Sus scrofa: one gene and its partner. The protein of the gene in region 1 purifies or fractionates together with the protein of each later gene. This does not show direct contact. Links are inferred from orthologs where the notes say so. Each region holds a gene or a part of one and is shown on either strand. Other genes may lie near its edges. The genes, in order: USP33 and ROBO1.

Region 1 (3,922 bases):
GCTGTGGTGTAGGCTGGCATCTACAGCTCTGATTGGGCCCCTAGCCTGGGAATTTCCATATGCCGCAGGTTCGGCCCTTAAAATAAACAAAAAAACCCCATAGGACTCCTTTAATTCAGATAGCACTTTGTTTCAAAACATCAGGAAACAAATGATTTTCATGATCATTCTCATCTCTTTTTTTTGTTGTTGTTTGTTTTTTGGTCTATTTTGGGGGCAGCACCGTGGCATATGGAAGTTCCCAGGCTAGGGGCCCAATCGAGCTTAGCTGCCAGCGTACACTACAGCCAGGGCAACATCAGATCCGAGCCGCGTCTGCTGCATCCACCGCAGCTCTCCGCAACACCTGATCCTTAACCCACTCGGATCAAACCGGAGTCCTCATGGATACTATTTGGGTTCGTTACCGCTGAGCTACAGCAGGAACTCCATCATTCTCTTATCTCTTTAAGGAGGAGTATAAATATTTAAAAACATTTAGATATTTGATTTAAAAATTTAACCACATTGCTGACATCCTGTAGACTGCAATATTTTGAAATATGCTGATACTCAGTGAATTCAGGATAGGTGAACATTTATGATGCAAACTGAGACCTTAGTATCAGTCCCTACATAGAATGTTGACAAAGATTCCTTTCTTCCATTTTTACCAAATGAAGAGAATTAGAACCTCTCATATTTTCTACTTGTTTCAGATGGATTTTGAGCATCTTACATAACACTTGAGAAAAGCGCGCATTTGAGAGACCAAAAAGTTAGAGGTAAACAGATACTTCGAAGGTGGCAATTTTAACACTTAATTTATATTAATTTCACTGTTTTTACTGTTTGCATATCAATCACTTGAGAGAATATTAACAGATCCATGAATTAGAAGGGAGATCTCTTCCAATGCTCTAGTCACTAAGCAGGTACTAAGGTTTCAATAAATATTTGATTTGATCTTGATTTTGGCCTAAGGGAAAATGAAAGCGATGACTTTCTACTTTCTAGACGTAGAAAGCGGAACACAATGATTTTCAGAGAGTCTAGGCCCGAAGAATTTGGGAGAAGGAAGAGGAAAGGAAGGGAAAGCGTTGAATTAAGTAGTCTAACATTTCTTTGTGTAAGCTCAGAAACCTGAGGTCATTCATCGGGCAGCCGTAATGCAACTTCTGTAATGCAAGGTCGTAATGTGGTCTAGAAGAGGGGGAGAACACGTGTAAAAACGAAAGGTGCCCCAAATCTACAACTACTCTACACGGTTCCTGTGCTCCTAGCTACTTTGGAAGCCCCATTGGTGAGAGCAGCCTGGGTCCCCGCACCTGGACTCGGCGCCGTGACCACGCCCCGGAGGCGGGGCGGCCTCTCCCAGCAGCCCCGCCCCGCTCTCCCGCGACGCCCGAGGCGCCTGCGGCGGCCGCGGAGACACCGGAAGGAGCCGCGGCTGCTGCGGGAAGTGGCCGGTGCGGGAGGCGGGGACCCCGTGGGCTGAGCTGCGGAACGTTTTCCGGCGCTGTATATGCGACACCGCCCCTCTCCCAGGCAGGGGAGTAAAAGAAGAGTTGGTGGAGGAGCGGCCGCAGGCCATCGTTGGCCGCGCTGGCGGGTCCCTTGGGGAAGGCCGTGGAGGTGAGCGCGACGCTGCTGGGAGGGGCGCGGGGCCGAAGGGCGCATCGTCTGCGGCCGGGCGCTGGTCTGTGTTCTCACTCCCGCGCGGCGACGCTGTGACTGCTGTAGCGGCGTCTTTTTCTTGGTCTGGGGTGGGGGTGGTGGGTGCGCGGGCGGGTAGAAGGCCTAGGCCCTTCCAGTGCTCTGCGCTGCAAGGATGATTGGTGCCCACCCCGAGGGGGGTCGGCGGAGGACATGAGTCGGGGGTAGATTTGAGGCGGGGTCCGCAGGGTGTGCTCCCCCAGGAAGCGGAGGCAGGAGGGGTGAGGCAAGTCCCTGCGAGAGGCTCCGCTCCTTTCCTTGGTCTCCCCATTACATCTTGCCAGTCCCTCACGGCGAACGCAGAAGATTGAAACCCCGCAGCGCGCTGGCTACTGGATTCTGGTTTCGCTTTGCGGCGCAGTTGGCATGATCGGACCCATGCGTACAGCCCCAGGGGCCCCGTTATTCGTTGTTGTCAGCGGGAAGACCTGGGTATTGTCGTCCCTGGAATTTTTCTCCGACGAATATTTGATCTTGACTTTTCAGAGGCTACCCCTTGCTGTCTGGCCATCTGCAGCTTTTGTTTGAGTCAGTTTCCACGGTGTGTGTTTTCCCAGACCTTTATTCTTACATATTTACCTACTACAAAACGCTCTTCATTTGAATACTTACAGGTTGCAGGTGGAACTGTTGGATGATTCTAGGTGTTTCGCTGCACTCACGTATTTTTAGGGTTTGCTTTCTCATATAATTGGTATTAGGCCGGGAAAATTGGGCCAGAGGGGAAAAAGACTGGCAGGAGCATAGGCTCTAAACTGACGCTGAATTTTTAACCACAAGCATTTCGACTTCTTGCTCAACAGAAGAATTTTATGTAGAATTGTAGAATTTTTTAGTTTAATCAGATTATTTTTCTTTTAAGGAAAGCCTGTTTCAAAAACTGATGAGGCTATTTTAGTTCCGTTTCTGGTTGAGGCAGTTATATCATCTGGAAAGCTCTGACTAATGCGGATAATAGATTATTTGATTTGAACCTAATGCAAATATTATTAGCGACTTCATGCTATTAATATAAACAGGGGAAAAAATAGGAATCTTATTGAAAGACAATGCTAATTTTAAGAAAAAGTGGTAGTAATTGTTACATTATGCCAGGCTTTCTGTTATTTACTTTGACAGGGTTGAAAGAAAAAAGGACAGTACAAAAAATATTCCAGGAGTAAAATATCTGACCTCCTGCTGTATACAAGAGGAATAGTCTACTTAAGATTACTTCTTATTTTTGATTTGGTTTATTGCTCCTTTTCAATTTTTTTGTCTTTTCTGGCTATTTATAACCTGCCAGTAAGCAAATAACAGTGCAGTTTTAATAGCATTGGATTGTAGTAAATAATTATTCTAATCTTTATTTGAAATTCAGAGTTAAGGAGATGTCTTAGGTTTATGTATTGCCATTAGAATTCTAATGACCTTTCACATGTACAGTCTTCTTTGAGCCTTATGCCAATCCTCTTGAGTTAGGAATGCCAAGAAAAGTCTTTTCTCATGACGGAAGCATTTCGAGGTTGTGTATGGATCAGAATTTCCTTGAAGCCGGAAGTAATCTTGCTGAACAATCTTTGATATAAATTGGAATTGATATTGGAGCACTGTGAACTATAACACGTGGCAGGCTGTGGACTCTGCAAGGAAAATGAAGTACATAAATGTGAAAGATTTTTTGGTGAGAAACATGAAATGTAGTCATTTCTAAAAATAAAAGAATAAGTAACAGCTTTTATATATACATATTTTTAAAAACTTTCTAAAAAAAGTCTACATGTGACTTCAGAAGCATTTTGGCAAATAGGATAGTTCCAAAAACTCTGAGATGAGTACAATTGATTTGTCCATAAAAAGGAGCACAAATTTTGTACAATATAGTATATATCAAGAGAACTAATACTTAAGAAACATGCGTATATCAAAATAAATGTTCCTTTCAAAAGTTACTTTAGAAGGCTAAGGACTTCAATATCTATAAGTCTACCAGAGGGAAAAAAAAGCTCTTTGGAAAAGAAAAGAATGAAACATGGTTTATTTCCTTAAAGAATTTAGAGTCAGGTTTGTAGTCAAGTAGGGTAGTTTTTTACACAACTACAGTAAAGTGTCTTATGACTATTTTAATCGGGAATTTAGGTATGAGAGACGTGATCGAATCTTGGTAGAGATGATATTTGAGACGAATGAGCTTTGCAACGTTTTCAGTGAATATCGGAGGACATTTGTAAAATGAATAGATTATTGC
Region 2 (3,922 bases), on another chromosome or scaffold:
TCTTATAATACTAATGGCCAAGGAAAGCAAATGAGAACATATAAATCAATGCACACTGCATATTTATAATTGCTCCCTCTTGATGATCTCCTAATTCTCATGACCTGAAAGTTAATAGAGCTTTCACTAATGTAGTGTGGATTATAGAGACTAAGATGCTGCTTTCATTTCATGGTTATAATTGACTTTAACTGAAAGAGAATAAATGTAAGCAGGATTTCCTATTTATTTCTAACACCTTGTAATGCTAATGATCAACGAAAGCAAATGACAGCATATAAATAAATACACATTTAGAGAATAAAAGAAGTTATCCTGGCTCTTTAAAGTCATATTTTAATTTAAAAACTTACTGGCTCAAATTAATATCCATAATGTAAGAGAAAATGGACTATCATTCAACAAACTTTTGGTGATTTTCTTTTATGTACAGAAATTATTACTGAATTTAGGACTATAAAGAGACTATAAGACAGTCAGGCCCACAACAAGCTATGTTCCTCCTGTTGAACACACAGGTGCATGGGCACGTTTACACACATACACACACATACACACACATACACACATAAACTCTAAAATAATTGCTGAGATCTCTGCTTCTAGGTGAATAAGTCATGAGAAAAATGGATAATTATGCCTGAGAAAGTCTGAGAAGATAAACTCTCTTAAAGCTATTACACATTAATAGGATTATATAAAGTAGAGATGGGTAAAAGTTATTTCAAGGAGAAAGATAATATGTAAGAAGACCTGACAGTCTGGAAAGTTCATGGTCTTTTGGAGAATGCGAATGTTCCTAGCATGACTTGATTTTATAGTTCATAGTAGGAATCGGAGGGGGAAAAAAAACCTTTCTTTAATAGCCCTAGAAATTCAGACATTTTCTTCTCTTATGATTCCACAGAAAATTGCATATGTATTTTCACTGCATTTTTCATATCACATGAAAAATTGTCTGTTTAATGTCTGTCTAATCTATGAGATTATTTTATGGATATTTTCTGTTGATAATATATCTGATATATTATTGGCATTTAAGGAATGCTTCTTGAATCAAAGAGTCTGAAAAATTTAAATTAGAACCAGATTCAGAACACTCTGCTTTATATGACTGGTTAAGAATTTTACAGTTGTGATATTTTTCTTTAATAATTAGGAGATTCCTCATTATAGTTTGAATTTCTAGCTTCTATTTAAAAATTAAAACATCTGGCAACCCAGAGTCTACAATTCACATAGCAATGCTGACCTGGAGTTGAGTGGCAGTAACCACCCATCACAAAGGCTTTCTCTGTGCAGAGCCACAATCCCCACCTCTCTCTCTTGTCTTCCACTGAGCCTCTTTCACCTGTTTATATTACCTGCTTGGCTGCTGTAGGACTTTTTTTTCCCCCTCCTCTACTGCAGTATAGGCGACTGACAGTAAACAGCACATTCTCAGGTATGTGTTTTAGAAATATGTTTTGGCAGCTGTGTGAGCTATTTAATTAGGTCAGGTTGTAGAATATCATTATGTGTTTAGCAGTATCTTAAAATAGCTTTATATGCTTGTTAAAATAAATGTATTATATTATTGTTATATAATGCTCTTAGAAGCAACACATTTTTATTTTTTTAAAAAATAAATTTTGTCATGAAGTGAAGGCAAGCTTCTCATGTTGGTACAGTGTCGTTCCAAAATAATCAAGACAATGTTGCAATTTGCCTACGGGAAATAGACTTGTTTGTAAAACAGAGAAGTCTAATTTGTGAAAAAAATCTGCTCCGCTCATGAGGTGATAAAAATCATTCTGCAGGAAATAGAAGAGATGGAATATACCAACATGTACTTTATAAAGCAAACAGCTGTTTGTGTTGCAGTGCAGAGGATCCTTGAATGTGCAATGTACATTACATTTCCCTCTTCCATGGCTTTGGGATATTTTTGGCAAATTGTCTTTTTACATTATTCTTTGAATATATAATTTACACAGTACAAGCTAAGTAGTAAAGATGATGGTTTACCACTTCCCTTTGCAGAGGTATTTTTATCATGTCTTGGCAGAGATATTTATACATCTAATCCCTTCTACAAGACATTAGATAGAGCTTCGAGAAAAACTCGAATTTTTTTTTCTTTCCTTAACAACCACCTCTGTTTGAAATGAGGTGTGTTTGCAGTGCCAAAATTAAATATTCAGATTCGTCAAGTACTATAATCTGTGGTACAGAATGGGTAGGAGGGAAAAAGCTGAAATCTCAGCGTTTTCCTGTTATCATGTTATGAAAAATGTTGACAAACATTTGGAACAAGTGAGAGTTGGCAGGAGCAGGTTAGGAACTGGTAGCTGCAGAAGAGACCAGAGAAAATTGTCAGCTCATCTTTCCTGACATTTTGCTTATGTGTAGAGGGAGCTTTTACATCCCTTCTAATTTTTTTTTTTTAATTCCCTACATAATTCAAATGGAAAGCCTGATGAGACCATACCTGCTTTTTTAAAATTTATGGGAAAAACAGCCTTTTTGCATTTCTGCTGAATAAAATGACAGGATTGGCTCCAGGGTTTTCTACTCCCAGCAAAAGCCTTCAGGTTTGTCTGTGACAGGACTCTCCATAGAGGTTATTTTTACCTGGCATGGCTGTGCTGTTACTGATGCTGCTGCTCTCGATGGCAGAAATAACTTCTCCTGTGGGTGTCTCAGGCAGAATGAAAGCTGGATCAAGGTGGAGAGGTGAAAAGAATCGTGAGTAAACAGGAATTTTTACTCTTGGTGCATTTCTTTCTTTCCTCTTTATATTTAGGAATGTATCGGGTCTGCCTAGCTTTGCAGTTCACAGGATTTCCAAGAGGTTGTTTTAAGACTTCGGAAGAATTTTACACATTAAATATGCATGCAGAATAAATGGACTCAACCTTCTCTAGGCTCCACACATCTGCAATATTGTTCTGGATTTCCTTGCAAGACTTTTGTTTGGCTTTTCTAGTTAACTCTTACAATTCCTGAGACTGTAAAGACTTTGAGTAGATAGAAGCCAAAGGCCATATATGTAAGTTAACCTCAGCTCTTCTGTATAAAGTTCAAATAAGTTGCTCGTATTTGTTGATATTCAAATGCTAGCTACGTAATACACTTTTTTACATATAAGCATTTTGTTCTGATGTTGGCAAGAAAGGAAATTTAGAAATAGCAAATGTCATAGGCACTCTGATTTGAATCACTTAAGAGTCTGTGCTTTGCAATTGGGAATTGCTGGTTGATAAATATATTACTCTTTAGAGTCACTAACTTCCTTATTCTCTCCCTATGGACATGCAAGACCATTTCACTATTAAATGTGTTTATATGTTTAAGGCATATGGTATTTAAACTACTATTTCAGTTTTAGAACTGAATCTGTTTCTGGTATCATTATAGAAGAAGGAAATGGATTTGGCATTTGTTTCCCTCAGAACTAATTGGCCAGATCCAGCTACTGGCTTTTCTCCCTTTTACCCTCCCAGATGGTAGAAGGGTCGTGTGTGTGTGTGTGTGTGTGTGTGTGTGTGTGTGTAGAAAGCTTAGAAGTAGCTATATTCCTATCTCCAAGATAGAAGAGGTAGATGCATTCCTCTTCTCTTTAACTCTCTTCAAAAAAAGGATGTAGAGATGAACCAAGGAATCTCTTTGGAAAAGGGGAATGTTTCAAAATATTGTTGAGTGCTCAGAAGAGGCAATGCCAATGAACCTATTTTACTGAAACTCCAATTTAGAAGATTCAAGTAGCCTTAGAGCTAATGGCTATAATTATGACTTTTGCTTTAATCATGCCTTTGGCTCATTTACCATTTTGTTTTACTGTCATGAAATGATCTGATGGATAGATCAATGGGAACTGTAAGCCTGATAAGCTGGGAAAGTTATAGGTTTAATTTAGCTTTCACCTGAATTTCTCAGTAAT

Evidence for each region.
Region 2: the proteins of USP33 (region 1) and ROBO1 purify together in Homo sapiens (affinity purification with western blotting; 5 studies listed by BioGRID and IntAct, with this or other methods). This does not show direct contact. The link is inferred for Sus scrofa from reciprocal best matches to the Homo sapiens genes USP33 and ROBO1.

Annotation. Positions count from the first base shown.
Region 1 is NC_010448.4:135,522,988-135,526,909, forward strand, and holds the start of USP33 (ubiquitin carboxyl-terminal hydrolase 33), read left to right. Parts: upstream 1-1,418; 5' UTR 1,419-1,614; intron 1,615-3,156; 5' UTR 3,157-3,328; coding exon 3,329-3,358; intron 3,359-3,922. UniProt on the Homo sapiens protein: Deubiquitinating enzyme involved in various processes such as centrosome duplication, cellular migration and beta-2 adrenergic receptor/ADRB2 recycling.
Region 2 is NC_010455.5:175,692,797-175,696,718, forward strand, and holds the start of ROBO1 (roundabout homolog 1), read left to right. Parts: upstream 1-1,487; 5' UTR 1,488-2,618; coding exon 2,619-2,727; intron 2,728-3,922. UniProt on the Homo sapiens protein: Receptor for SLIT1 and SLIT2 that mediates cellular responses to molecular guidance cues in cellular migration, including axonal navigation at the ventral midline of the neural tube and projection of axons to different regions during neuronal development.